4 linked regions of the Lytechinus pictus genome follow. The protein of the gene in region 4 purifies or fractionates together with the protein of the main gene of each other region. This does not show direct contact. Links are inferred from orthologs where the notes say so. Each region holds a gene or a part of one and is shown on either strand. Other genes may lie near its edges. The genes, in order: DDB1- and CUL4-associated factor 1-like, DNA damage-binding protein 2-like, denticleless protein homolog and COP9 signalosome complex subunit 4-like.

Region 1 (7,391 bases), on a different chromosome or scaffold from region 4:
AAGATAAAAAAGAAATGAAGGGAATTAATGAAAAGAAAAGGAAAAGTGTAAGGTTAGATATCTATCTCAAATTTAGATTTGCACGAAAAGGTTTTTTCTCGCTTGCTTCAATCGCTTGGAACATATAAAGCAACTTTATTCCCACGCGCCATGTAGGCCTACATTGGCCCTCTTTCTTTCTTTTACTCATCACGCTCATCACGCTATACTGCCACACAGGGGTTTGCCCTAATGATCGTGGACAATCATAAAAGATATCATTTTCATACCATGTGACTGGGAAATTTTTGGCTCCACCCCCCCCCCCCTCTCGATCCCTGCTTTCGATTTTGACTTGATAGGGGCCTATACCTGATGTAATTTGCTTCAATATAAAATCATAACGAAAAGAACGCCTTGAATACAGGCCAAACAGCCTAACGACATTGCTGTGTCACGTGACAACTAGTATTACACGAGGATGTACACAACCCTATGGCGACAAGGTTAGTCGCAAAAGTTGAGCAAGTTCTGGACAAAAAGGCTTCAGTACCCCAAGAATAGACCAGGCGAGTACTATTTTATTTATTTATACATTATTTTCCATAAGTAGTATCGAGGGTCTAATTTAAAAATAGATTTCGTCATGGAGCTCCATGGTAATATCTAGTAATTTAAGTCCAACTTTTGATTCGCGTGCACTCACTTTTTTAACACAGGAATTGATAGGCATGGTGCCTAGAGACTGCTAACAGTAACACTAGGAAAATGTTCTATGATCTATAATATGAAATTAATATTCAACATTTTTACCACAGAAATACATATGATTTTTATTTGATTCAATGACTGTATTTTTGTTTTGGTCAAATTATGCTTAAGTGTCCAATATTTGGGTACTTTACTCTATTGTGTCAGTGAGTGGTGAACTTGTCTTGAGCTAACCCAGGAAGCTCCCGCCCGCGCAGCGGGCGGGAGCCCAGGAGCTTACCGTGTATTTGACCATAGTCACCGGACTAGGGTGATTTAATTATGGTCTAAATATTTCTCCAAATGAATTGTGAAAACAGAAAGTATACAATTACCACGATTATATGGATGAAGGTCTAACGAGTGGCAGTTTCCTGACATCTGGGCACAGACTGGATCTGGAACCTCAAAAAAAAAAAAAAGTTCTCTCCTCTACCCCAGTCTCGATCGGCCATTTTGTTACGATTTTTAACAAAAATGGCTGATCGAGACGGGGGTAGAACTAGAAGGAGAGAACTTTTCGGTTTTTTGAGGTTCCAGTTTGTGCCCAGATGTCAGGAAACTGCCACTCGTTAGACCTTCATCCATATAATCGTGGTTATTGTATACTTTCTGTTTTCACAATTCATTTGGAGAAATATTTAGACCATAAATCACCCTAGTCCGGTGACTAAGGTCAAATACACGGTAAGCTCCTGGGCTCCCGCCCGCGCAGCGGGCGGGAGGCGAAATTATTTTTCCCACCGAGTTCTGGACCGACATATGAATATTCATGACTTGCGTCTTCGGATTGAGAGTACGCATGCGCGTGGACTTGGCCTCGACCAGTGCCGATCGTAAGCATTCACGTTGCTCAGAATGAATTAGCATCGTCAAATTACTCTTATAGGCTTAGATCTATATATATATATATATATATATCCAATTCTTAAACACTTAATAAACTAGCTGCCATTAATGGCAAGACATGTGCTAGGGTAGGGCTAGCTTAGGCTAGCGCATTAACTTTACCTCAAATCTGGACCTGTCTAATGCCTAATACTAATAGGAATAGCCGACTAATGCCATGGTTAACTTCGAACTGGTTAATTCCGAACTTCACGTTTAATTAGGTTTAGACAAATATTAGCTTATTTGCCATGGTTTAATATGTCTAGTCCGTATACAAAACCAGTCCTAGATCTAAAAAAAAAATATCTTATATAGTTCTAGTCTAGTCTCTATATCTAGACTCTGATCTACGCTGTATCAGCATGGAACCAGTAGTGTACCAAGGGTGGGGGGAAGACTGTCCCTCTGACGAGTCACAACTGATTCAGGGGACGTGCCCCCTTTGAGAAGCCATATTAATAAATTGTAATGTAAAAATGCAATGAAAAAGACGTATGTCCCCTTTTTTTAACGTGAAGATCTTTTTTTTTTTTTTTTTGCTTGTCAATTTTTTTTTCAGCTAAGAAATCCATAATTTGGGGTGAATACCCTTTTTTTTTTTGGGGGGGGGCTTGTCACATTTTTTCGCGGACGAAATACCCTCTAAAAAAATTGCCCCCCTTTTGGAAAATCCTAGGTACACCAGTGCGTGCATGGAACGTATTCTAACGTCAGGCACAAATTAACGTCAGTGATCTTGATCCCCGTCTTCACCCAAAATTAAGGATTTCGTAGCTGAAAAAAATTTGACAAGAAAAAAAAAAGATTTTCACGTTCAAAAGAGGGGACATACGTCTTTTTTCGTTGCATTTTGACATTACAAATTATTAATTTGGCTTCTCAATGGGGGGGGGGCATGTCCCCTGGATCAGTTGTGACTCGTCAGGGGGGCAGTCTGCCCCCCCCCCCCTTTGGTACACTAGTGGTTCCATGCTGATAGCGCGTAGATCAGAGTCTAGATCTAGAGACTAGACTAGAACTAAGATATTTATTTTAGATCTAGGACTGGTTCTGTATACGGACTAGACATATTAAACCATGGCAAATAAGCTAATATTGATCCAAACCTAATCAAACGTAAAGTTCGGAATTAACAAGTTCGAAGTTAACCATGGCATTAGTCGGCTATTCCTATTAGTATTACTATTAGGCATTAGACAGGTCCAGATTTGAGGTAAAGTTAATGCGCTAGCCTAAGCTAGCCCTACCCTAGCACATATGTCTTGCCATTAATGGCAGCTAGTTTATTAAGTGTTTAAGAATTGGATATATATATATATATATATATATATATAGATCTAAGCCTATAAGAGTAATTTGACGATGCCAACTCATTCTGAGCAACGTGAATGCTTACGATCGGCACTGGTCGAGGCCAAGTCCACGCGCATGCGTACTCTCAATCCGAAGACGCAAGTCATGAATATTCATATGTCGGTCCAGAACTCGGTGGGAAAAATAATTTCGCGGGCGGGAGCCCCCTGGGTTAGTCTTGAGCTTGCACTTTGCAGTTGCACACCAAGCAAAAATAACACAACACGGATACAAATAGCTGGGATCACACCGTACCATCCGCATCACTCCCAAGCTGCAAGTCCCATGAAATAACTTGAAAAACACGCAAAAAATACAACAATACATATCAATAATTACTAACTATATTTCTCATAGAATGAAAACCTATCGAAAATGAAAGAAATTATACAATACCGAATCCAGAATATTATGTTTTTTCGGTAAAGTTTCAGCCAGGTCGAAGTACTAGTCTCACATACGGTAACGCGCACGTGTAATAGTGATGTTGGACTTAAACTTGCAGTTAGTTGCGTATTGTTGAAATATCGAAATCGAAGCTTATACGGCCGGTGTATACTGTCGAAATTGATTGATCAATCTGTCAACTGCTATAACCAAAACCCCTAAAACGCACGGCACAAACCCTGGGGCGCAAACACAATAAAAAGTGGGTTTACCGGGATGGTGAGTCAAGCAAGTTTCTCAATCTTCAATCTACTTTGTTGAAAAAACAACACAACAAATTAAGAGCCCCCAAAGAGCACTAATCTGCAAGGGGAAAAAATGAAAAGTAAATCGTCTTGAAGAGCAAATATTTTCCCAGTCATAATCAAAGGCGTAAATGAGCCAAAAAATTTGAAGGGGCTAGATGTATCGCATATTTTTTTTAATTGAGAGAGAGCGAAGAGCGAGTGGGTAAAATGTTATGTTTATCAAAAATCAAATTTCAATTTGTGATAGATTTTGACAGTAATTACGTTATTCAGAATATATGATATCATATTTCACCTTCATTCTTTCCTTTTCTTTCTGAGCTTCCCTTTTTCTTTTGCTGTCATTACTTTTTTGGGGCGCCCCCCCCCCCCCCCCCCCATCTGTATATGCCACTGGTGAACAGGATTTTGTTGTGGTCGTTGGTGCGAAGCTAGCTCTATGCAAGAGTGTAAAGCGACAAATGAGGGGGCACAGCAAGGGGCATGTGGCAAGTTTCTTAAAAGTTCCTTTTCGTTGCAATCTTAATTAAGTATTTTGACATGATATACCAATGAAAACATTACATCTTCCACTTTTCCGGTCCTTAATTCCTTCTTTTCTTTTTTGTTCTTGGTCGTAGAATCTTTTGGGGCCACAATTAGGCCACAAGCCCCTAAAGCCTTTTATTAATTTGTACATCAGTGCTATGTGGGTGGGGCTTGCCGGGCGGATGCACGGAGCCCCAAAAACCTTACCAAATTCAGCCATTTTAATCGTGAAAGATGGCCACTTTCAATCGGATCAGGGATTTGTTTTGCAAACCACATTACTTCATCGTAGTGGCATTATAAACCAAACCTTTTGAGGGGGTACATTATTGGGTATAATGTGGGAAAAATTAAAAAATATCCTGAGCGAGCGAAGCGAGTAAGGATATTTATGGCCTTATGAAATAAAAATCTAATTATTTAATTGGAAGTGCGTGTCTATCCCTCGGCTAGGGACATCGGCAATGCTCGGGCGGTACCTCCGGAACCTCTCAAAGTTCAGTAATTTTTTGTCCTGATTAATTGCGACCGTTATTGCATGAAAATATCAAGCTATTTTTTGCACATAATACGCCATCTGATTCTTTCTTCCCGTTCTTTATTTTTCATCCTCGGCAACCCGGTCGTGTTCTTAATTTTTTTTTTTTTTTTTTCGATTCAGATTTTATGTCAGCATTTTCACTCAATCCATTCTACCCAATATCCCGTTTCTTTTGCCCCCCCCCCCTAGGCCCTCCATAAATTCCCGTTCCATTTTGCCATCTCTTAAAGGGATGGTCCGGGCTGAAATATTTATATTTAAAAATAGAGTAAAATTCACAAAGCGAAGTGGTGAAAATTTCATCAAAATCGGCGGGATAACAAATAACAAAGTTATTGAATTTTAAAGTTTATCAATATTTTGTGAAAACAGTTATATGCACATCGTCATGAATATTCATTAGGTGGGCTAATGATGTCACATCCCCACTTTCCTTTTTCTTATGTTATTACATGATATCATAAATGTTTCATTTTTTCGTGCATGTGTAAATGATGTGTCTCCATTATGATGAAATAAGTTGCGGCAGTACATAACTAAACACTTTAATCAGTTGTCAATCCAATTGTTCTAGTTCGTGGTAGAAAATTTTTGAATAAACCTAATTTCATATAATAAAATACAAAAGAACAAGTGGGGACAGGGGCGTCGATCAATTTTTCAGATTGGGGGGGGGGGCAAAATCATGAACCAACGTTCCAAAGGCGCTCGATCACACAAAACAAACAGACTCACCCACACACTCACACATAGGCATATATATATATATATAGTGTGTGTGATGATAAGTTTACTTCTACCAATCGCTGTTGAGTTGTGAATATTAAACATAATGAGATGAGGCGAGGCCAACTCAACAGATGACGCAGGACACCATTATTTGCTTTAGCTTTCGTCTTTTAATTGAGACTTCATCAGAAGCGTCTGAAAAATATAAGGAGATACAACATCCAAGTTTGTTTTGCACATCAATGAATTATCACCAAGTTGAATATATTCCATAATGACACATTAATGAATGAACAGATAAATAAATTAATGAATAATAAATAATTAATTCAATTAAAATAATAATGATATAAATGAAGAAGACATACCTGTAATTACAGACTATTGTGATAGTTAAGTATGACCGTATCCTATCTCGTTCTTTAGGAAAGTGGCAAAAATTGCACAATGAAAACAATGGTTGCTATAGTATGAAGAGAATGTTATTCAGATGACATTTACAGTCACCTGTTAGTGAATTCATTATCTAAGCGATGAATGTCCATCTCTTCATATGTCCATGATGAGAGGAAGCGTTTTGCGCCCAAGCATATGCTAGATATTGGTCACTCATTGTATAAATTGGCACTTTAAACCTGTATGTGTAATGCAGAGTACAATTTTGTATTCGTGCGAGGGAGCATTGCGACCGAGCCTTTTCCCCCACCTACCATTGCACAGCCGTAGATGAGTTACCTGCATGCCATATCCACTGGCGTAAATCCGTGAGGTGAACCTATAATTAAATTGTTCAGGGGAAGGGGGTGATCTATTGTTCACCCCCCCCCCCCCCCCACTTGAATAGCATGACGTCACAGACTTACGCCAGTGCCATACCCCTTAATATGGATATTCCCATTACTTGTATGCGAGTGAGCGTAGCGACAAAACAAGGCCTTTTGCAAATTTCAATGGTAAATCTAGTAAATAATATTAGCATTACGCTGCATACACTTGATGAAAGAGATGTTGTTGTGTTATAAAAATCTTTCTTGTGGTAAATGATATTCATCATGAAATGTTCACCAGTCGTTCTTAAAGTTGAATTAAGAAGACGATTCCAAATATTGAGATATTTACATTAATAGCAACCTTACAACCCCCCAAACACTAAGAGGTGATTCGACCCCCCATTTTCTTTTTTCAAAATAGTGAATTTGAACGATTTATCCCTACCCATTTTCCCTGAGTTCGCTCCTGCAATGCCTACCGAGACGGGTGTTCTTTGACTGTGACGTCACCGGGGGGTATTCGGTCCCGGTGTAGTAAACAAGGCAGTGCCGCTTTGTGTACTATGCACGTACGCCTTCATATGGAATAACTGCAGTTGAAGTTGTATCTGCGAGCCATAGAACTTGCAAAGAGGAAATGATTAAAATATTTGTGGCCGTACTATTATTCCAAATTTGTTGGGGAGGGAAGATGAGTGGATTGGCGCTGATTAGAGATTGGGAGACATGTGCCCTCTATGTTAGCTTTGGGAAAAAGCACTTCCAAACAACAAGGTCCAATCTGGACTAACCGGCCGCCCGCTCCGGCGCAGCTAGCTGTCGAGCTAGCTACCGTACCGCATACCTTTCTTGTTTTCTTCAACCATAGATATGTACGTATACTAATTACTATAATATCCCTCTGTCTTCAACTCACTTGCGAATTGCGTTTGTATGTGTGACGGTGACCCCTAGCGTAATTAAATATAGAAAACAACTCAGAAGGCCGAGAAAGAATAATACGTTTGGTTCAAGATTGTTCTGTGGAACTGAGCTATGAGTGGAAATGATCCAGAGGATATAAAAGTGGAGTCAAAGACAAAAGAAAAGAAGAAAAAACGCCAGGGGATCGCTGCACGGCCATGAACTAAGTCGACATACCAGACCATAACAGTA
Region 2 (7,832 bases), on a different chromosome or scaffold from region 4:
TTTGAAACGCTTGCCAACGATGTTTTGAATGTTGCATTGCACGGTCACATCGTTGGTCGTTGGCTAGCGGTGCACCCAACGATGTATAGCAATAGCTAGTAGTAGTAGGTAATTTAAAAGAGTGTATTAATCTTGTACTATTGCACCTTCACATCGTGGGTCGTTGGTTAGCCAACGATGTTTTAAATGTTACATGGCACCGTCACATCGTTGGTCGTTGGCTAGCGGCGCACCCAACGATGTATATAGCTCTAGTAGGTAATTTAAAAGAGTGTATTAATCTTATTTTATAATATAACAGTTTCACATCGTGGGTCGTTGGTTAGCCAACGATGTTTTGAATATTATATTGCACCGTCCGTACCGTCACAACGTGGGTCGTTGGCTAGCAGCGCACCCAACGATGTTTAATTATAGCTCTAGTAGTAGTCAAAGGGCAAAGGTCATTACGTATGGCCTGGATGCATTGCTCGTACGTACCGTCATACGTACGTACGTACGTAGTATAGTAGTAGTAGTAGTACCAGTAATGCATGTACGTATATAATAGTATGGATATATCTCACTCACACAACATGCGAGGTTAGTATACTAACCTCGCACAACACATGTGATTTCATAGTGCATTTTGACGTTTTCATTCATCACACGAATGTGAGGGACTAAACTACGCCAAACCTTTCAATATTTGTCCACTATGTTAATCTTGATCGTATTTTTTATGTTTATTTGAAAAAGGAATTATAAATTATTTATTAAAGTGTTTTTATCGCTTACCTCCAAATCTCAACCAGGATACTTCGCTCGGTCCGTCCTTAGTCATCCTTCGTACTGCAGTGGAAATTACGCAAACAACAATCGAAATGCGAAATTTTCCTATCGAACATTCTCGATTCAAGTCGTCGGCGCATAATAGGAAATTGTACCAAAAATCAACATAGTTCTCTATTTATTCAAACAATTTTTTCTGGGGTGCACTTGACCTTTAAGAGATTTTCCAATGAAAATATTACATGGAACTTGGAAATACAAATCATAATTTGGTTGAACAAAATGTTTTCTGTTAAAGTATAAAACAGAAGAGGAACATATCCTTCACGTATTTTTATATCCAAAATATGTTGCCTTAGTATGGAATAATCACAATGACATAAAATGAAAATGGGTAAAGTACCTTCCTAATGATCATTGAGATTTCGCCTATGGAATCATTGTTTAATAATTTTCAAAGCTTTAAATAGATGAAAATGTTCATTGAGAAAATATACATATATATATATATGAACAAAATGATAATGTCCCGATTGTTTCGCATTACGTGTGTTAGATTGCGGGCGTTTGTGTGTGTGTGTAGGAAGCAAGATATTCGTGTTAATGTTTGCACAAAAAAGGAGAGGGAAAGGGAAAGGAAAAGGGGAGGGGGAAAGGTAGAGGAGAGAGAGGGAAAAGGAGACCATAAAATAGAAAGAAAACAAAGGAAAGGAAGAGGGGAAGGGAGAGAGAAAGAAAAATGGAAATAGCGAGAAAAGAGTAGGGGAGGGAGAAAGGAAAGAAAAGAAGGGAAAGGAAAAAGGGAGAAAGGGAATGGAGGGGGCGGGAAAGGAAAGGAGAGACAATAAAAGACAGATCAGGGGAGGGGGAAAAGTAGAGGAGAGAGAGGGAAAAGGAGGCCATAAAATATATATAGGTCTCCTCATCATGGTTATAAAAAGTGCTCAGAATGTTTTATTTTCAAGTCCTTGTATCAGAATTTTCAGCTCGGGCAGCTCTATCGCATTTTGATTACTATCCTGTTGATTTATTTACTTGAACAAAATATTTAAAATGTCCAGCTTTTAGAACAGATATCAAAAAAAGGTATTCACCTTTGATCATAGATGAGGAAGAAGAAAAAAGTGCAAAAAAATAGGAAACAAACTAACGAATTAATGGGACATAATTTTTCTTCATTTCAAGGCGACTCTTGACTTTACATTTCATCATCGCTGATGGCGCTACAAATAATAGAAAATACCGCTTGACAGCAAAAAAAAAAAACAGAAAGAGGAAAATAATGCTGAGCGTCTAAAATGCAGCTAGCAGTACAACCTGCAGAACCGTAAACAAACATCTTGTGAATAATATCGCGCGCCCTCTTTAAGCAAAAGTTTACAACCACAATGACCCTGCGGTATCTACGTGAAGATCACGAGAAAATGCTTTTTTTTTCTTAAAAACACACCAAAGAGAAGACAAGAAACGATCCATATGGTTCGGTAAGTGTCATAGCACAATTAGAAACATTATTTTAAAAGAAATGGCATAGTTATTTTAGTAAAAAGGGTGTGAAAAATTCGCGTGCACCATGTGCATATGAATCCTTCGCACGCGAGATGCATTGATCCCATGAGTGGGATATATCTAGGCTATATACCATTGAATTAGTATATAGCTATAGGTCTTGACATCGTTGTGTTGGCTGACCAACGATTGGGTAGTGAGCAGTGTCGGGGTATTCTGCAGTTAAGCCCAAATATTTGTCATTGATTGACCGTACACGTCTTCTTTTTGTAATTGTATCAACAAACAACAAGTATAAATTGATTTGACTTTGTCAAAATTGATATATCCCTTCAATCATCATTCAATGTAAATTAGCTCCTGAATTTTGCAACTGATTCCAAATATTTTACTGTAACATCCCCTAAGATGTTATTCCAGGCTTCGTTGAGAGTAAGCATACGTTAGTAAATTATTTTTACTCTCTAGAAGCCTCCTGGCTAGTCATGCCATGGTTGTCGTATTGTTTCTCCCTCCCGATCCCGGCTCCCTGGAGCGACACCGCGCGCCGCGATCCACTCACCACAGTTCTGCTTCTGGCTCTGCTGCTGGATCTGGATCGAGTTTTGGAAACTTTTTCTTTCGGGAGTTTCGCGACATCTCCGACAGTTGTCACAATGCATCCCTTAGATCCATCTTTCTTTTTCCTTGACATAGACGGTGCCATTTTAAGCGATTCAGGGATCACAAATTTCATCAAAATCTAGCTTCGCCTCTGACACATCTCAGTGCGGTGGCAGTACATTTGAAGTACGTCCACGTGCTTATATTTCATAAGCTCATGTCAGCTGTTTGATGTTTACAAAATAGGACTTGCGTAACATTTTTCCCGCGATATGGTCCATATCGAGAAGTGGAACTGTCTCCAATGAATTTTTATATGCAATAATGTTTTGATGCACTATGATAAATTAAATATTTATATATTAAAAAGTAATAATTTGTTTATTTCATTTACAGTTAAAGTGTTAAATATTGTTAAAAGTTTTTATCGTCTTTACAAACTCGGCAAATGGGTACGTGCAAGAAAACCGGAAGTAAATCAGACTGACCTGGGAGTTCCATCCAGGTCAAGGTGTACAGTGCATGCAGGACAGAACTTGATTGCAGTTCCTCTTCGAATACCCACCTCTTTTACTCACCTGTACGACTGTATTTCATCTCAAAAGACAAAATGGCAAGTGGAAGGCGTTTCTTTGTTGGTGGAAACCACAAGATGAATGGAAACAAGGCGTCGATCGATGGAAATTTGAAAATATTGGAAGAAGCACAGATTCCTGGAAACACCGGTAATATATTGTCGAGCTGCGCTGAGCGGCCGCGGGCACGGCCATTGCCACTGTCACTGACTGTCTGGCACTGGCACTCTGGCAGTGACACTGACAATGCTGAACATGGTGTAAAAAATGCCCATGTAATGATAATTAATGTTGTCGGTCGGGGGGGGGTTGTAACTTGTATATTTCATGCTTTTTGGAATTGGTCACCAAAACGAAGTTGCATTTTCTTTCAATATTTAGGCCCCTATTTGTGAAATAGAAAAAAGTTTGCTTTAATTTTTCAGAAGAATCAAGACAATTTGTCATGTTTGTCAATTATCATGCAAAATGTTTTACTTTTTTCATTTTTCAATCTCTTTTTATTTTAGAAGAAATAATTAAAAGAATCAAATTTACTTAAGAGCCAAGTTATAATAATAATATGATTAGCTGTAATGGACTCTGACAGTGTCACACAATCAAGCAATTATTCCAGAGAAAAGAGAACATTGCCAACCTTATTTTGGCACACATGGGCACACATCCTCTACTTTGAATGCCCTCTACCAAGGTGCTTCAAGCCGTGTCACCTGGAAAGGTTCTGTCAGTTCCTTCATCCCACTAAACAAGGGTGTCAGACAAGGAGGAATACTCTCTCCCACGCTGTACAACGTATTCGTTGATGGCCTCGTCAAGACTCTCCGGGACAAGGGGCTTGGCTGCACCTTCCAGAATAGATACGCAGGTGTAATTATCCTTGCTGATGATGTTGCCCTTCTTGCAAGTTCTCCCACTGAACTTCAGCAAATGCTGAATGTCACAGATGAATATGCCACTCATTGGGAAAACTCTATCAATCCCTCAAAAAGTGCCATCCTCATCTTCAAGTCAAAGCGCAGCATCCACCCATCCTTCCAATTCTTCATTGACGGTGACAGAATCAGAGAGGTCTCTCATCATCCCCACCTTGGCATCACCAAATCAACCATCGCGTATGACCACACTCAACACATAATCACCAAGGGATACAACACCCTCTTTGCCATCATCGGTAGCAACAGCAGCAATAACCTCTTCCTCCCCCACACCCTTGCGAAGCTCTGGAAAACTTTCTGCCTACCCCGAATGACCTATGGCTCACAGCTCCTGTGTTTCACTCAAACCTCACTCAAACACTCCCTTTTCAAGAAACTCTTGGGTCTACCGAGATCTGCCCCCAATATCTCTATCTTCCTGTTAACTGACCTACTTCACCTCTCCCGCGAGATTGAACTAAACACTTTCCTTCTGATAGGACAGCTCTTCAACATTGACCATATTAGATTTGAATTTTGCTCATTCCTCCATGCCCTCTCCATCAAGACTCCTACTATCATCTATTGGAATAAACTGCTCTCTAAGTACAACCTTCCCTCACTCACCTCTCTCCTATCTGAAGATTTCTCATACCACCGTTGGAAAACTCTGTGCAGGAGTAAAGTGTATGATGCCAAATGGAAGAAGCCAGAGTGTGCATTGAGAAATTCTCATCCCTCAGCCTATGGAGTAACCTCTCAATGCTCCCCAAGATATTGTCACTTTACCCTTCTTCACTACCGACCCATCTTCGATCAGCTGTGATTTTACGCGCTCAGCTGCTTACGTCCACTTATCCCTCACAACGAAGCTTAGTCACCATCGGGAAGAGCACAGACCCAACCTGCAAGCTTTGCTCTCTAGAGGAAGAAACCACTACCCACTTTCTTGCCTCATGTCCAGTCCTCTTGACTCAGCGTCTGGACCTACTACAGCATGTTGAGAACCTTGACTTGCCTGCACACATCCTAAATGATTTCATTGGAAATGACCCCCTCATCCTTGCATCCTCCATCCTCTTTCCCTCACACTCTCTGCCCTCCTCCTCTGCTTCCTCTCTGACATGTCACTGCCTAAGATACATCTTAAAAATCCACCTATGTCGACAGCACCATCAAGAAAGGACCTGAACTTTGCGGCTTGCCGCCGATCTCCGAAGACCGGAGGAAGGAAATATACAAGTACAAGTACATGGAGTACAAACAGAGAACAAAGTTCCCTGTTTGTACTCAAAAATTTAGTCGGCTTGTTTAGACATTAAATGAGTGTCTCTTTCCTTGCATGAATATTCCTCGGGTTCAAATTTCCTTTGGTTGACACTTTTTTTAGATTACATTGATGGTGAACTACCATCCCTTGCATCGGGGGCAGATCCAGTATTTCCAAAAATGGGGGCACATTTTCCCAAGGAAAATTTGATAAGCCAAAAAAAAAAAAAATTGTTAACACTATTAATGAAGGGGGAATTGATTTTTTGCTACGGGATGTAAAATTTGAAGAAAAAAGTCAGGTGTGAACGACATATTCCCATCACAAATATTTATTGAAACTCTCAAACACACTTGTGTATGAATGACATATTACATTGAAAATATTGACCGACTCAAAAGGGGAGGGTGGCATGGGTCGGATGTGCCCCCCCCTGGATCAGCCACTGCCTTGCATGTTATTTTTAGTTTTGCAAATTTTACGTAATTAAGCCTGAGTCGGAATCGATTTTAAAATCGGTGTTCAATCAATGTCATCGAGCGCCAGTGCAGATTTTGTAAAATCGGTGCGTTGATAAAAAAAAAAAAAAATTACAGTGTGAAGGAAAGAAATGCGGCAATTTCGTTTGGTACACACAATCATTGAAATAAACAGTAATGTCTAAAAAAATGAAACCTATTGTGTAATTATCAATGCCTATTCGCCATTAATTTGAAGTTTATTTTGTTCCTAGTTCAAGTCTTACTCGTCTGTTCGTGCTGAGATAATTTATGCACGATGAATTCATGAATGGAATTTATCGTCATCGATCGCGCATGCGCACTGCTTTAATCAAGCCAGAAATTTATGACGCGATCAACGTAAAATAAACCTTGTTTTCGTTAACAATATTTTTATTATGACCATAGAACCACTCATTCAATGAACAAGGTTATGATATAACCCTGTTCTCTGTTTTTTTTTACACTGTCAGTTTCTATCACTAGCTAATCATAATATAACTTGGCTCTTACTTAAATTTGATTCTTTTATTTTTTCTAAATTAAAAATAGAGATTGAAAGACAATTTTTTTGCCACATTACTTTCCACCAATAGTGGGCGTACACAAAAATATGCCCAAAATTCAAGTGTTTGAGAGCTCTGGTGAATACAAAAATGATCCCCAAGTCAGTAATGAAAAATAAATTGTATGGAAATTAGTATTTTTGGTCACAAAAGTGTTATTTTATTAATGATTTTTTAAAGTGTGTGCTGTGTACTGCATAAATTGGTTGCACAAATTACATTCTAGTCCTTGTTCGTTCCCACAGATGTTGTCGTTGCCCCGCCTACCGTCTACCTCTCGTACATGAATGCCAAGATCCCAACAGGAGTGAGTGTCGCTGCACAGAACTGCTACAAGGTACCCAAGGGAGCCTTCACTGCGGAGACGTCTCCGGCTATGCTGCAGGATCTAGGGGTAGCGTGGGTGATCTTGGGACACTCGGAGAGAAGGCATGTCTTCGGAGAGACAGATGAGGTAAGTCGGTGCAAGGGAGTGTTCCATGAAAGGATTAGCCTGATGTTTTATCAGTCAGTCTGTTCTATCAGGAAGTGCAAAGTTCGAATTCCAGCTATGAGTCAGATTTTCTGTGACTCAAGGTGAGTTCACAGGCATTGTGTATAACGTACAGGGGGATTTAAGGACGTTCCACAGTTATGTTTGTGCGCATTACGATCTGCGCATATTTTACACTCTGCGCGCTGACGTCACAATGGATGAACAGGTGATTAATTACCTGTGGGTATGAGCTGATTTTTTTCATCATCTGCACTCTAACTGCAGATCCGATGCGTTATCTTATGAAGCTAAAAAACTGGTATTATTCCATGGACCATTAAAAAAATATCTCTACAAGTTCAAAATACTTTACTCTGCAATGCTGCCAAGAATCGTGAATATGACCCCGAGTTTGAATATATGGTAGAGTGGTTTTGATTTTTTCTTCTCATAGATACAAAGCATTTGGCGCATTTTCGGTGTTTTAAAAAGCACATTTGCTCTAATGAAAATGCTGATAAGTTGAAAACAAGCACATGAACCCCTATTTTTTAATGTTTGCACCTCTTAGGTATACCTTCCTCTACAACTTTGCAAATTTTTGTGAAAATGACATGGATTTTGAATAAAGTGCAGCATTTATTGTCCT
Region 3 (8,125 bases), on a different chromosome or scaffold from region 4:
CAGACGACAGCAATCATCAGGTGCTTTGCCGATCTTGGCGAGCCTGGCTTGGGTCAGATAGACTTGGCAAGAGATCTGAGCACGGATGGTGATGGCTGACTCAGATTTGGATTGGCAATGTGCCCAGGGTACAGATCCTTCGCCTTTGGCTTAGGGGTTCTAGTCCAGAAGGACAAGGATGTCTTGTTGGTAAGGGCGTTATGCTGTCTGGCCCCGGATACCTGAATCACTACCGACTGAACCATTCGCTTCCATAGATGGTAGCTAGGGGGATTCCTTACAAGTTCATCAAGTGGGGAAGGCTGAATTTTGTTTAAGTGCAGCACGCCATTCTTGTACGGATTTGGTGTTGGCACAGATACCATGAAGAAGCATCCTTCGTTCTATCCTGTCCATGTCAGTGCTCAAGGTCTGTCCCAGGAGTAGGAGCTTTTCCTGGGTGACCAACAGGCTCATTGGGATTACATGTATGTCAGTGAGAAGATATACTGCTTCGTCGGCTGATGTTGTTGGTAGACCCAGAATCCGCTTAAATAGGTGAACCTGTGCTTTATCTAGGCGATTCAACATTGCCCTTGAAAAGGGAATGCTAGAGCAGCCAAAGATCATCCTGGTAACACAAAAAGTTTTCCACAGTTTTGCAGCGACATGGGGAACTACCCTTGCTCCTAGTGGTGAGGTTCCCACAAGGGCATAAAATGATCTGTATCCCTTTGTGATCGCATCAGCAGCGTAGTCATACTGAAGATGTCAGTCCTGACGATGCCAAGGTGCTTGTGTGAGGAGACCTGTGCAATCGGTTCACCATTGATCTGCCAAGAGTTGCCACTGTTCTGAAGATCTTGATTAAGCACAATGATTGCACTCTTGGAGGGGTCGATCTTGTAATTCCACTCCTGGGTGTAATTAAATGTGACATTCAACATCTGTTGCAGTTCCATGGGCTCATTGCTAAGAAGTGCAATGTCATCCGCGAAGGCTATGACCCCAACATATAGGTTGCCGACTGAGCAGCAAGATGACACTCCCTCAGACGCTTAATAAGGTCGTTGATGTAGAGAGTGTACAGCATGGGGGAAAGCACTCCCCCTGCCTTACTCCTTGGAGAACAGGAAAGGAGGGACCAACTTCATGCTTCCAGAATACCTTGCTTGAGCAACTGTTGTAAAATTCAGTAATGGTATCCAGCAGCACTGTAGGTGGATGAGTCGCTGCTATCTTCGAAAGGAGACCATCTTGCCAGACCCTGTCGAATGCTTTCTGGGCATCCAACATAGCTATGTACAGAGGTTAGTTGAGGGACTTGTACGATTCGATGAGAAGGTCAAGTGCTTTACCTGTAAGAGTACAGGACCTCTCTCGTTGGAAACCAAATTGCAACGGGTCTGGAATTTGGTGTTCTTGTAAGTGTTGGGAAAGTTTGGGCTTTACCAACAACTCAAACAGCTTTCCTAAGACTGGATTCAGAGTGATACCCCTATAATTTCCTGGGTCTGTTGGATTCTTGCTCCCACCTTTGAAGAGAGGAATGACAAGGCCATCTTTAAGGCTGAGAGGAATGTGCTTCAGATATATCATCCAGTTCATCATGATGAGGATAAGGATCCTAGTGGTGCACCCAGTGTACATTAGGTGCTCAGGAGAGATGTTGTCTGGACCACTAGCTTTGTCAGGCCTTAATGAAGAGATGGCCAAGGACAGCTCCTTTGAAGTGAAGAGATGGTCAAGCCCTTGTGGATGATGTATAGCAAGGGAGTCCATATTCTCAGGATGTGTTGGATTCAGAGCCTGTGTAGAACTGAAGTCAGATGGGGTGGCAAGATCCTGGAAATGCCGAGTCCACCCCTGGATGATATCGGGCCCAGAGTAGGTGAGACCTCCAGGGTTGAGTTGGTGCACATCAGAGCCAGGGCCTCGTTCTTTCACTAGTGTATAGAACAGTCTGTCGTTGTGTTCGTCGGCTCCCTCAATTCTTGACAGAAGACCATTCCTGCAAGCAGCTCTTGCTTGTCTAAGCTTAGCACGGAAGGCTTTTTTCAAATTGGCAGATAACACACCAACTGGACTGTTCTCTCCTTCTACCCCAGTCTCGATCGGCCATTTTGTTAAGATTCATAACAAAAATGGCCGATCGAGACTGTGGTAGGAGAGAACTTTTCGTTTTTTGAGGTTCCAGTCTGTGCCTCGATGTCAGGAAAATGCCACTCGTTATACCTTCATCCATATAATCTTGGTAAGTGCATAATTTCTGTTTTCACAATTCATTTGGAGAAATATTTAGACCATAAATCACGCTAGTCCCGTTAGTATGGTCAAATACACGGTAAGCCCCTGGGCTCCCTGGGTTATACATGATAGCGAGCCGTCTGTGTACGAGAAATTTAAAAAATAAAAAAATGTTGAATAACTTCTCGAAACAGACGGCTGCCAGCTGTCTAGGTCATTGACATCAATGGATGTAATCTAAGTCTAATGGAAGAAGAAGTAGGACCCCTATATAATTCTAAACTAGGCCTATAAGTATAATGTAAATTTTGGTAAAATTTTGATGGATTTCAAAGTAATAGAGGTATAATAAACTCGACGTTAGCCTGTGGGCGTGGGGTCTAAAAATTATGACGTACATTTCTCAACTCAAGAAGACCTTTCAAAAAGATTAACTTGAAAGCTCGATAGCGAAAATTCAAGCACATGATTTCATTAACCCATGTCAATTTTTGCATAATTTGGAGTATTAAGGTGCAAAATTAACTCTAGGCCTACGCAAAATTTTGTGAAAATGACATGAATTTCATGTTAACTCAATAACTGACTGTGGTAGTGTGGAACGTCATTACTAATACTATCTCAAAATTCTCATTAAACTAAATGAGTAAAGTAAAGTTGAACTCACCAATATTCTTTGTTTGTGATTTCCAAGCCCAGCGTCGGCGATCTTGGTGATAAGCAGTAATCAAATTCCTGGATGACATTGTGAAAAAATGATAAAATCAGCTGGCTGGAGATTTTCTGGTAGATTTAAGTAAAATCTAAATTAATGGTTGGCGTCTAAGCTTAGAATTTCAGTTTCGTTTCACAAAAACTTCATTTCCACACTTGTTTACGTTGTATCTGCAATGCATCGAATTTGGCGCGCCTCCCGAAAGATAGTTTCAAAACCCAGACGCTTTTTAGATCTATCACGGACGAAGCAGCATACGCGATGCACATTGTTGCACGATTTTACATCAAAACGCCTAGCTAGAGCTTAAAGATTTGAACCCGGAAGTACATGTAGATTCGCCAATCTAAAAATTCTAAAAGAATTTTACACACGCCAAACAATATCTCAAGACTTGAAATACCATGTCAAGTGCAACTTCTCGTTTGTCAAACTTCGGTACTGATGTCGGATATGGAGAACAAGAACATGATGCAAATTCAGCTCTTCTTGAGCTTGATAAAGGTGAGCATGAGCAAAATTGCAGCACTATTTGCGCTAGTTGCCGACCGCGACCCCCGCCGCGACCTGCTGCAGGCTGTGCAGCTGCACAGGCACGTCCAGCACAACTGCTGCCTCAGCTCTCCCGTCTTTCTCCAGTCCAAGAGTCTAGCTTCGCGCTGCCCGGGAGTAGCGGCGTGGATATGCCATGGCCTGGGGCCGATTGCACGTAAGGGTCTTTGCAAGAACCGTCTTTCGTGTCGCACATTTATTATGATGCGCCATGTGAAACGCATTTTAAATGAATTACCTGCAAACATATTTTATTCATCCGTTTAACTTTAAGTAGACAATTTATGAAATGATGTAATAATATCATGAAATCGTATACAAATTACAATTACAAATTGATTTAAATGCCAGCTAACGAATTCTATTTAGTATTTGTTTATCATCATACATTTCAGTAGGTAGGACAACGAAAAAAAAAAAAACATTGCTCAAAACTTACCATAAAATTTCCTAAGTAAATAGTGAAAAATAAGGCTGGCTTAACTGCAGAATACCCCGACACTGCTCACTACCCAATCGTTGGTCAGCCAACACAACGATGTCAAGACCTATAGCTATATACTAATTCAATGGTATATAGCCTAGATATATCCATACTATTATATACGTACATGCATTACTGGTACTACTACTACTACTATACTACGTACGTACGTACGTATGACGGTACGTACGAGCAATGCATCCAGGCCATACGTAATGACCTTTGCCCTTTGACTACTACTAGAGCTATAATTAAACATCGTTGGGTGCGCTGCTAGCCAACGACCCACGTTGTGACGGTACGGACGGTGCAATATAATATTCAAAACATCGTTGGCTAACCAACGACCCACGATGTGAAACTGTTATATTATAAAATAAGATTAATACACTCTTTTAAATTACCTACTAGAGCTATATACATCCTTGGGTGCGCCGCTAGCCAACGACCAACGATGTGACGGTGCCATGTAACATTTAAAACATCGTTGGCTAACCAACGACCCACGATGTGAAGGTGCAATAGTACAAGATTAATACACTCTTTTAAATTACCTACTACTACTAGCTATTGCTATACATCGTTGGGTGCGCCGCTAGCCAACGACCAACGATGTGACCGTGCAATGCAACATTCAAAACATCGTTGGCAAGCGTTTCAAAGTATGGTTTCACAAAACAGTTTAATATATGCATATCCTGGTTAGTGAGGTGATCGATGTCATTCACTCTCTATTTCTTTTGTATTTTTTATACATGAAATATTTTCATTTTTTCTTCATTAAAATATGAAATAAAGTTTTAATTCCCATTGAAGGAATTCAATGGGAATTGAATTCAATGGGAATTGAATTCAATTAGGGTTAGGGTTAGGGTTAGGGTTAGGGTTAGGGTTAGGGTTAGGGTTTAGGGTTAGGGTTAGGGTTAGGGTTAGGGTTAGGGTTAGGGTTAGGGTTTAGGGTTAGGGTTAGGGTTTAGGGTTAGGGTTAGGGTTAGGGTTAGGGTTAGGGTTAGGGTTATATTCACATCGTTGGCATCGCCGGCAATGTTGGCCTCTACAACAGGCATATTCACATCGTTGGCATCGCCGGCAATGTTGGCCTATGTAAGATACATTCACATCGTTGGCACTGTTGGCATCTACTACAGGCACCAACACATCGTTGGCATCGCGGGCGCTGTTGGTATATACATACTAAACATACATTCACATCGTTGGCATCGCCGGCAAAGTTGGCCTATACTTACTAAAGATACATTCACATCGTTGGCATCGCCGGCAATGTTGGCCTCTACTACAGGCATATTCACATCGTTGGCATCGCCGGCAATGTTGGCCTCTACTACAGGCATATTCACATCGTTGGCATCGCCGGCAATGTTGGCCTATGTAAGATACATTCACATCGTTGGCACTGTTGGCATCTACTACAGGCACCAACACATCGTTGGCATCGCGGGCGCTGTTGGTATATACATACTAAACATACGTTCACATCGTTGGCATCGCCGGCAAAGTTGGCCTATACTTACTAAAGATACATTCACATCGTTGGCATCGATGGCAAGGTTGGCCTGTACTACAGACACCAACACATCGTTGGCATCCTGGCCGGCGCTGTTGGCCTATACGTACTAAAGATACATTTACATTGTTGGCATCGTTGGCACTGTTGGCATCTACTACAGGCACCAACACATCGTTGGCATCGCGGGCGCTGTTGGCCTATACATACAAAAGATACATTCACATCGTTGGCATCGCGGGCAAGGTTGGCCTATACTACAGACACCAACACATCGTTGGCATCCTGGCCGGCGCTGTTGGCCTATACGTACTAAAGATACATTTACATTGTTGGCATCGTTGGCACTGTTTGCATCTACTACAGGCACCAACACATCGTTGGCATCGCGGGCGCTGTTGGCCTATACCTACTAAAGATACATTCACATCGTTGGCATCGAGGGCAATGTTGGCCTGTACTCTACAGTACAGACACCAACACATCGTTGGCATCGCGGGCAATGTTGGTCTACATAGGAAACTACAGATATGATCGCATCGTTGGCATCGCGGGCACTGTTGGCATGTACTACAGACACCAACACATCGTTGCCATGGCGGGCAATGTTGGTTTACATAGGCAACTACAGATATGATCGCATCGTTGGCATCGAGGGCAATGTTGGCCTGTACTACAGACACCAACACATCGTTGGCATCGCGGGCAATGTTGGTCTACACATACTACGGAAATATACACATCGTTGGCATCGCGGACACTGTTGGTCTACATACTACAGAACACAGATATAGATCGTTGGCATCGAGGGCAGTGTTGGCCTGTACCGACTACAGACACCAACACACCGCTACCATCGCGGACTGTGTTGGCCTACACGTACTACGAAAATATACACATCGTTGGCATCGCGGGCAATGTCGGCCTACATACTACAGATGCACACAGATATATATATAGATCGTTGGCATCGCGGGCAGTGTTGGCCTGTACTACGGACACCAACGCACCGCTAGCATCGCGGACTGTGTTGGCCTACACGTACTACGAAAATATACACATCGTTGGCATCGCGGACACTGTTGGTCTACATACTAATCGCGCGCGCTCGCATCGTTAGCGTTACAGTGCAGTCTGAACACTTAGAATCTATTCAAAAAATACTTGTAAGTTGTAAATCATTCAATTATTTATTATAGCTGATTTTCTGATTTGATAGCTTAAGTACATCGTTGTGCGTTGGCTCTCCAACGATAAGGTAACGCAGTGTCCGGGTATTCTGCAGTTGTTCCATAAGGCTTAAATGCTCCATAAAATGTGTCTGGATTTGCATACAGCATTTTGGCCCATCCCCATAGGCACACACAGCTACATCTCAGCCGCCGACTACAGAATAATTGAAGGCACGGTGCATTCAACAAATAACGTTAATTTGCGAAAAATTAATACGAGGACTTACAGAATGAAGTCCTCCTACAAAACTTACGAAACGATGTGAAGTCAATTCCTCATAATTTGATGAATATCCCTCAAACACAAAATGCGTCATTTAAGCGTTGATTTTTCTTCTCGTTGACAAAATACGAGAGCTACCTTTCTAGCTCTCAAATTTTTCGTCTAATGAGCGAAAGAGGGCGCGCGATTTATCTTCATATCAAAGACACTACAATTGAAAGACTAGACACAGAAATTATCTTACACGTAAATCGATGCAAAGCGTTACGCGAAGTCGGCAAAGTGTTCAATCTTTTTACTGTAAAGACTTTGGTGGAACGTTAATTGACAAACGAACGGTAGCACTTGCTGGGCTTTGTTCAAGGTACATAGAATTTTCTATATTTTTTGTTTAATTTGTCATCGTTTTGAATATTTTCCAAAAAGTATTATCGTCAGCAAAAATAATAAAAAAGTATGTTTTTTAAGTTATTGCATTTATTGGGGTCTCTATTTTATCAAACAATTATTGGAATTGCGCATACAATGAATAATGAATCTAGTTTTAAAAATACCACCAAGCCGAATTAAGGTTGCGAACTGTATTAGCGCCACCAACGACCTTCCTTTTATTTCCGTGGAAGAGACGTGCGAAGCCACTTTCCAGGCGGAGGTAAGCGATTTTGCTCTTTTTTGTGTCCTTTTTAAATTAAAAAAATATGTTAAAAATTTATAATGGAACGCTTTCTACCAGAAAAAGCCCTGGGGCGGTATTCTGAAAACGTTCTTATCTTAATTTTGTTCTTATCTACGTCACGATCTGAAATTGGTATTCTGAAAACGTTCTTATCTTTTTCTTATCTTTTGTTCTTATCTTTTTCTTATCTTGCTAAACATCCTATGCTGAGCGCGTAAATGTATTACTCGCGCATATAATACAAAAGCGCGCTAAAAAGATAAGAACAAAATGAAGATAAGTGGTATTCTGAAAACGTTCTTATCTTTTCTCTTTCTTATCTTTCACGATATTTATGATAATATTTAAGATAGCTAGAGGGTTATCACGATGTCCGCGTTCTTTCTTGCTCAAACTCGATGGTCACTAGTAGTAACAAGTACCCACAAGTATTCATCCCACCCTTTCTTTTATTCACCCTTTATTTTGCCCGTCTCTTTTTTTCTATCCCTT
Region 4 (7,358 bases):
AGAAACATTGATTTAAATCACTTCCATTGAAACATATTACAAATGATTGACAATAATAATAATAAGTAATATATAGGATTTGTATAGTGCACGTATCCACCTTGCTAGGTGCTCAAGGCGCTCCTATATTTCTTCACTTTCACTATGATTTTTTTTAAATCATTGATTTAAAGGACAAGTCCACCCCAACAAAATATTGATTTGAATAAAAAGACAAAAATCCAACAAACATAACACTAAAAATTTCATCAAAATCGGATGTAAAATAAGAAAGTTATGACATTTTAAAATTTTGCTTAATTTCATAAAACAGTTATATGCACATCCTGATTGGTATGCAAATGAGGAGACTGATGACATCATCCACCCACTATTTCTTTTGTATTTTATTGAATGAAATATGAAATATTCTAATTTTCTCCTGATTGTCAAGTGAAATAACGATTTATTCCCCCCTGAACATGTGGAATAAGCATTGTTCAATACTAAAAATATCATCAAAATCAGATGTAAAATAAGAAAGTTATGACATTGTAAAATTTTCAATTTTCAATACTATATGGTTCAGTCAAGTCGGTCCTTATTGTCAAATCTGTTAACAATGAAATATTATATTATTCAAACAATAAAAAACAAAAGAAATAGTGAGTGAGGGACATCATTGACTGTCTCATTTGCATGTCACCGAGTTGGGCATATCAATGTTTTGTGAAAAATAAAAGAAACTTTAAAATGTCATAACTTTCTTATTTTACATCCAATTTTGATGAAATTTTCAGTGTTATGCTAGTTTGATTTTTCTCTATTTATTCAAATCAACATTTTTCTGGGGTGGACTTGACCTTTAAATCACTTCCATTGAAACATGTACAAATGATTGACAATATTTTTATTTGTGGCAGTTTTACTTTTTTTTTACTAAAAATAGAAAGATTTTATCAACTTTATAATCATCAAAACATTCTTCTTCATAAGCGGTTTAAAGCCCCCTACTCCACTTTCACTATGATTTTAAAAAAAAAATCATTGATTTAAATCACTTCCATTCAAACATGTACAAATGATTGACAATATTTTTATTTGTGGCAGTTTTATTTTTTTCTCCTCAAAATAGAAAGATTTTATCAACTATATATCATCAAAACATTCTCCTTCATAAGCGGTTTAAAGCCCCCTGCTCCACTTTCACTATGATTTTTTAAAAAAATCGTTGATTTAAATCACTTCCATTAAAACATGTACAAATGATTGACAATTTTTTTATTTGTGGCAGTTTTACTTTTTTTTACTCAAAATAGAAATTTTTTATCAACAATATATCATCAAAACATGAATAAATCCTTTATCGCAGTTACCACTTAGCCCCCTACTCCACTTTCACTATGATTTTTTTGTTAAATCATTGATTTAAATCACTTCCATTGAAACATGTACAAGTACAATGTACAACTCCTGGTTTATTGTACTAAAAGAAATAATTCAAATAAACCTGCAACTTTTCCCAATAAGACACAGCTTTGCAAATCAATGATTTAAACAATAACAAAGCTCCAACCATGGCTCAAATACCAAAGGAGGTTTAAATTTGTTTTTTAAATGGAGTTTTTTTTATTAAACACATGATTTTCAGTCCTTAGTTTGAAAATCAAGAATGTTTCTCTTTCAAGAATATGAGTCTCTGAGTCATGGAATTCTTCCAAAGAAACTGATCCTCATTTCATATTTGAATAGGAACACTAACTTATTAGCTGTACCAAGGCAGTTCCTCAACTTGACCAAACCAGTCAGTAGGAGCTAAATACCCGACACGAGAGGATGCGGAAACAGCATCTTCGTCATGACTTTATACAGACCTGCATACATGTATTCTTTATAAATTACATTTTGGCTGGATTTAATTATGAAATAGAAAAGTTAATAATAATTTTAGTTGTGAAATGTATGATTTTTAAAAAGATTTCAGTGTAAGGGTTATATTTTTGGTATTTCCACTTTGTTTTAGAAAATAGTCAAAAAAAAAAAAATCTGATTTGAATAAAAAAAAATTGATTTAAATCAAATAAATCCTATCAATTTATTTTTTTTTTATAAAAAAAATCGCCAACCCTGACAAAATAGATCTAATGACAAACGTTACATGTACATATGATTTTTATTTGATTCAATGGACAATGATGTTTTGGTCCAATTAAATTTAGATCTATGCTTAACTTAATATAAGTGTCCAATATTTGGGTACTTAGTTTTACTCTAAATTATCTAAATTTCTAATTCATTTTTTTTCATAGGAAACTCATACCAAAAAATCTAGGAATTCATACATGCATACGTACTGTAGACCAAAACTTTGGTCTCTGTTATGTTGGTTGTTCCGCTGAACTCTGTAGGCTCCACTCACCAATTACAGAGACCAAAGTTCTAACTCGATCTGTACAGGGACTCAATGGCCATATGTTTATGTATTAAGTTTGGAAAAACCAGGGAAGCTCGAAGTGGCAGTTGCGCGACAGCCGAAGCTTGCGAAGTAGACTATCAAAGTCACTGTTTTTTTCCTTTTGAGTAAGTTTTTTCCCCGTTTTGGTGCATTTCAGGCCAAAACGGAATACTAATCTTTATTTTGGTCCATGAGCCCGTCAGGGGTTTTTGCATTGTTATTTATGTTAACCCCCTAATAATGGCGGCTGCACAATCGCTACCGTCTATTAATCATGGTGACGTGTGTAGAATTAAAACAAAATTTAAAATGTTTAAAAAAGTACTTCTCGAAACAGACGGCTACCAGCTGTCTAACTAGACTAAAACTTAAAAAAAAAGCTTCGGTCTCTGTTACATTTACATGTATGTTGGTTGGTTGGCTCCACTCACCAAATACAGAGACCGAAGTTCTAGCTCGATCTGTACAGAGGACTCGATGGCCATACACTTTATGTTTATGTCTTAAGTTCGGATAAAACAGGGATGTGAAGTTGCGTGACAGCCAAAGTAAGTCACTGTTTTTTTATTTTTCCCCAGTTTTAAGTTTATTTTTCCCCGTTTAGGTGCACTTCAGGCCAAAACGGAATACTAATCTTTATTTAGGTCCAGTTCTTTTTGTATATTTTTAAGAAATAAAGACAAAAATCCATGAGCCCTATCGGGAGGAGTTTGCATTGTTATTTATGTTTACCCTCTAAAGGCTCTATGGCGGCTGCACAATCACGAGCCGTCTTGTGACGTGTGTACGAGGAGAATTAAACAAAATTTAAAATGTTAAAAAAAACTTCTCGAAACAGACGGTTGCCAGCTGTCTAACAACATACATGAAGCATTGTCCTCCATGGTAGACTACAGCATGGAGAGTCTGTGTCCAACAATACACTGGCCAGGCCATGTTTAACCCATGCAGAGGCCGTCAACTACCAGGCAAGACACACTCACTGCCCCGACAAGCACGGCCAAAATTGTCCTCGCGATCGAGTGGGGTCACGGCTTCGATCACAGCGAAGCTCTCCACCCAAGCACCTTTTACGTGGCGAATTGATTTAGTGATGCAGCAATTTTATATCACAGGGCCGTAATAAAACTGCAAATAAACTGATTCATAATAGACCAATCGCTTTGGAACTTTAAAGTACATTTAACCATTTCCATACATGTAATATCAATGAGCTGATGATAAAAAATATCTTACGGTTAATGAGAAAATCCTACTTTAATCGAGGACATCGTTACCATCCATTTGTTCAAAATCACGCGCCGATCAATGGTCTTCTCTCCATTCGGCCTATTGTAATTGTACACTTCGTATTTCGCATACGTTTTTACCACACAACCTCGCATAATAAATAAATATTAAAAAGTGTTATCTAAGAATAAAGTTAGGCACAAATTTGATATAAATAAAATATTTTGCTTTAAAAATGTATTTTATTATTGGCAGAAAACTTTTCTTTATAAGTGTAATTTATCATCACATTATTACATTCTCACAAATTGATCAGTCTCGCTCAACATGGCAGCTTCCATGAAACAACAATTATCGACTCTCTTGAGCGCTGGTGGGGCTCCAAAAGACCTAACAGAAAAGTAAATATCATTTAAGAGTATTCAAAATAGTTTTCAATGTTTGATTTGTCTTCTTTAATAGGAAATTGTTATTTTATGAGTATAATTGATCCCTCCTTTCATCATAGAAGATCGTGGGATTAACATTTTTGTTGTATGCATATACTGTAGTGTAGTCCCACGCATTATATCTTTTGTCAGTATGAGGATACCCATTGCCCATTGGCTCCTCGATCCTCTCATTCACACTTGTTCACTGCAGCCAGGGTGACCAGATTTCACAAAATGAAATACGGGAAAATTGACAAAAAAGATCAACAAAGAAGGCTACACAGTATTCGACTTGTGAAAAAATATAATTAAAGAATTGGAAGGGTGGGTGAACGAAGAATGAAGAAGAGAAAGAAAAGACGAAAGAAAAGAGATAAATTGAGAATAAAGAAAGAAAAAATGAAGGGAAACAAATATAAAAGAATGAAAGAAAGTTAGAATTAAAGAATAATACTTTTAATAGAGAGAAAAAAGGTTTCCGTCATTCTTTGAATTGAATATAGAAAGAAAAGAAAGGAAGGGAAGATGAATAAATGTGTGAAAGACAAAATAAAGGAGAGAGAGAAGAAAAGAATGAAGGAAATAATAATGTTTCCTTTGAAAGAAAGAAACAAAGAAAGAAGAAAAACAGGAAGGGAGGAAGGAGGGTAGGAAGGGAAATAAAGAATAAGGGAAAGAATTAGAAGGAAAGATAAAACAAACAAAGAAAGAAAGAAAGGGAGGAGAGAATGGAAAAAAGAAAATAATGGAAGGAGAGAAAGAACGGAAAGAAAAAGGAGAGGAAAGGAGAAGGAAGCAAATAAAGAAAAGTTTAAGGAAAGAAAGAATGAAGGAAATAAAAATGGAAATTGAATAAAGAAGGAAAGAAAAATGAACAGAGAGAGAGAAAGGATCAGGAAAGAAAGATCGGAAATAAAGATAGATCGAACAAAAAAGGGCAAGCAGGATGGATAGAAGGATGAAAGAAGGATAGAAAAGAAAGAGGAAAAAAGTTCAAACTTCAAGCAAACAAAAACAATCCAATCTATCGAAAATCATAATGATATTTGGTGTTTTTTTTTAAACTTAAATGTTTTAGAAATGAATAAAATTTCAAAGTGAAATATTGTCAACTTAAAATTAGATGAAACGTGGCATCATACATAACAAGACTCAAAACGAAAGCTGAAACACCTAGATCTAGCTATGAAAACTCAATAACTTGTTCCTCCGATTACATCTCCAAATCAGTAATCTGAGAATCCATAATGTAATTATACAAGTTCCCCACCGATTTTGTGTCGTTGTTTGCTCCATTGAGAATCTGCTGCGATCCTACTTGCCTAGCTAGTAGCCTGCCACACACAGGCAGGAGGCCAGTTCGTTTTCAATGTATATGGTTAGCAAGAAAATCACTGCAGAACTTTAAAGTTTAGTTATTGATTTGATTGTTGTCTCTGCTTCGTCATCTGTTGGTTATTTTATGAAAATTCGTCACTTTTAAATGTATTAACTACATTTTGTTCAATATTCTGAAATACGGGACAAATAGGCGTCCCAGGAAGGGTTTGTCAGGACGCCGGGACAAAGCAAATTACGGGATGATCCTGGGAAATATGGGACGTCTGGTCACCCTGACTGCAGCCCCTGCCTGTGGGGAATCTTCATGTAGATCTATGGTATGCCAATGCAGTACACAGCACACACTTTAAAATTTCATTAAAAATATCACTTTTGACTTTGGTCACCCAAAATACTAATTTCCATAGTAACAATACAAATTACAGTTGCAATTTATTTTTCATGATAAAGTAAAATAAAGGGACTAAAGACATTACTCATTGGACTAACTTGGAAATCATTTTTTCATTCACCAGAGCTCTCAAAACCTTGAATTTGGGGCATATTTTGTGTACACCCTCTATTGGTGCATGGTGGAAAGTAAAATTGCAAGAAAATTGTTCTATGCTAGTTTGATTTTTCTCTACTTATTCAAATCAACATTTTTCTGGGGTGGACTTGATCTTTAAGAGCCAAGTTATTGATTTTGATGAATAGTTGTATGGAAACTGACAGTGTCAAAAAATCTAAACATTTTTCCCCAAGAACATGAGAAAATAAGCCAAACATTTGCCAACCTTACTTCACCACACAGGAAATAGTTATAGAGAACAAGGTTCTATCATAACCTTGTTCATTGAATGAGTGCTCATTGTTGAATTTTCTACCGTCAAATTAGTGATTTTGAGACAGAATTTGAGATTATTGTTAGTACGGGAAGCTAAACAACATCAGCTGGGTATCAGCAGAGTAAGGTGACAATGACATGGCTGGGCTCGAGTCATGACAATATGAAATCATTTATTTCAAATGTCATGTATTCCTTGATAAGCTTGATATCTGTTTATAATTCAGGGTGAGGGTCACGATCGTCCCAATTAATTCAGGGTTCAAACCGGGGGGGGGGGGGGGGGGGGTGCACTCAGTATATAATGCGTTGTGGGTATGTGCTGCGGAGGGGACCCCCATTTTTACACTCAAATTTCCGTTCCAAGGCATAGCATTTTTATCTTATTGAGAAAAAGATCAAAGAAAGCCGCTCCAAAGCATAGCATTTTCTTCTTATCGAGAGAAAAGAAGAAAGAAATCCGCTCCAAAGCTTAGCATATTTTTCGTTACGGTGTTCTGGCTGCATTGATCCGCTACAATGTGCTGCAATTTTGGTGAAAAGCGGCCGCAGAGCGCTGTCCGTCCATCGCCTCTGCGCGAGCGCACCCGGCGTCCGTGCTGCCGGGCTAGCTGCATGCACGTATGCCCATTCCATAGGGATGCATTCGCACTCACATGCTGGCGACCCGTTCCAAGGACCCCGTTTTCACAAACATTTATAGTTCCGAAGCCTGTTCCGAGGACCCTCCTTTTTACAATAAGCCCGCTCTAAAGGTTTTTGTCTCGCCCGCGGCACATACCTACCACTTTTTTAGTCGAGTACCCCCCAGGGTTCAAAGGGTTAAGCACGGGTGTGGAGGGGGGGCAAGCCAGAAGTTTATTAAGAAACAGAAATATTGGGGGGGGGGAATCTACTGGAAATGATGAGTACTGCCCCTTTGACATGTCCGTTTACAACTTCCAGACATGGAGCCCTATGAACCTATTGATGGCTAATTTTGCTCACCCATTTTTTTTACGCCCTGCTTGAAAACTTGGACACCCAATTCTAAAATCCTGGCTAAAGCCCTGCTGGGCCTGATCCCTACCCAATACTTTTTCCTTCTAAATCTTAA

Evidence for each region.
Region 1: the proteins of COP9 signalosome complex subunit 4-like (region 4) and DDB1- and CUL4-associated factor 1-like purify together in Homo sapiens (affinity purification with mass spectrometry; 4 studies listed by BioGRID, with this or other methods). This does not show direct contact. The link is inferred for Lytechinus pictus from reciprocal best matches to the Homo sapiens genes COPS4 and DCAF1.
Region 2: the proteins of COP9 signalosome complex subunit 4-like (region 4) and DNA damage-binding protein 2-like purify together in Homo sapiens (affinity purification with mass spectrometry; 7 studies listed by BioGRID and IntAct, counting the BioPlex papers as one, with this or other methods). This does not show direct contact. The link is inferred for Lytechinus pictus from reciprocal best matches to the Homo sapiens genes COPS4 and DDB2.
Region 3: the proteins of COP9 signalosome complex subunit 4-like (region 4) and denticleless protein homolog purify together in Homo sapiens (affinity purification with mass spectrometry; 3 studies listed by BioGRID). This does not show direct contact. The link is inferred for Lytechinus pictus from reciprocal best matches to the Homo sapiens genes COPS4 and DTL.

Annotation. Positions count from the first base shown.
Region 1 is NC_087247.1:55,107,250-55,114,640, reverse strand, and holds the start of DDB1- and CUL4-associated factor 1-like, read right to left. Parts: upstream 3,432-7,391; 5' UTR 3,370-3,431; intron 1-3,369. UniProt on the Homo sapiens protein: Acts both as a substrate recognition component of E3 ubiquitin-protein ligase complexes and as an atypical serine/threonine-protein kinase, playing key roles in various processes such as cell cycle, telomerase regulation and histone modification.
Region 2 is NC_087258.1:23,627,658-23,635,489, forward strand, and holds the start of DNA damage-binding protein 2-like, read right to left. Parts: upstream 3,364-7,832; 5' UTR 3,017-3,363; coding exon 2,843-3,016; intron 1-2,842. Other genes in the region: triosephosphate isomerase-like, read left to right, coding at 5,497-5,614, 6,954-7,162.
Region 3 is NC_087251.1:16,412,707-16,420,831, reverse strand, and holds the start of denticleless protein homolog, read right to left. Parts: upstream 3,230-8,125; 5' UTR 2,973-3,229; coding exon 2,894-2,972; intron 1-2,893. UniProt on the Homo sapiens protein: Substrate-specific adapter of a DCX (DDB1-CUL4-X-box) E3 ubiquitin-protein ligase complex required for cell cycle control, DNA damage response and translesion DNA synthesis.
Region 4 is NC_087262.1:10,335,000-10,342,357, reverse strand, and holds the start of COP9 signalosome complex subunit 4-like, read left to right. Parts: upstream 1-3,961; 5' UTR 3,962-3,991; coding exon 3,992-4,065; intron 4,066-7,358. UniProt on the Homo sapiens protein: Component of the COP9 signalosome complex (CSN), a complex involved in various cellular and developmental processes.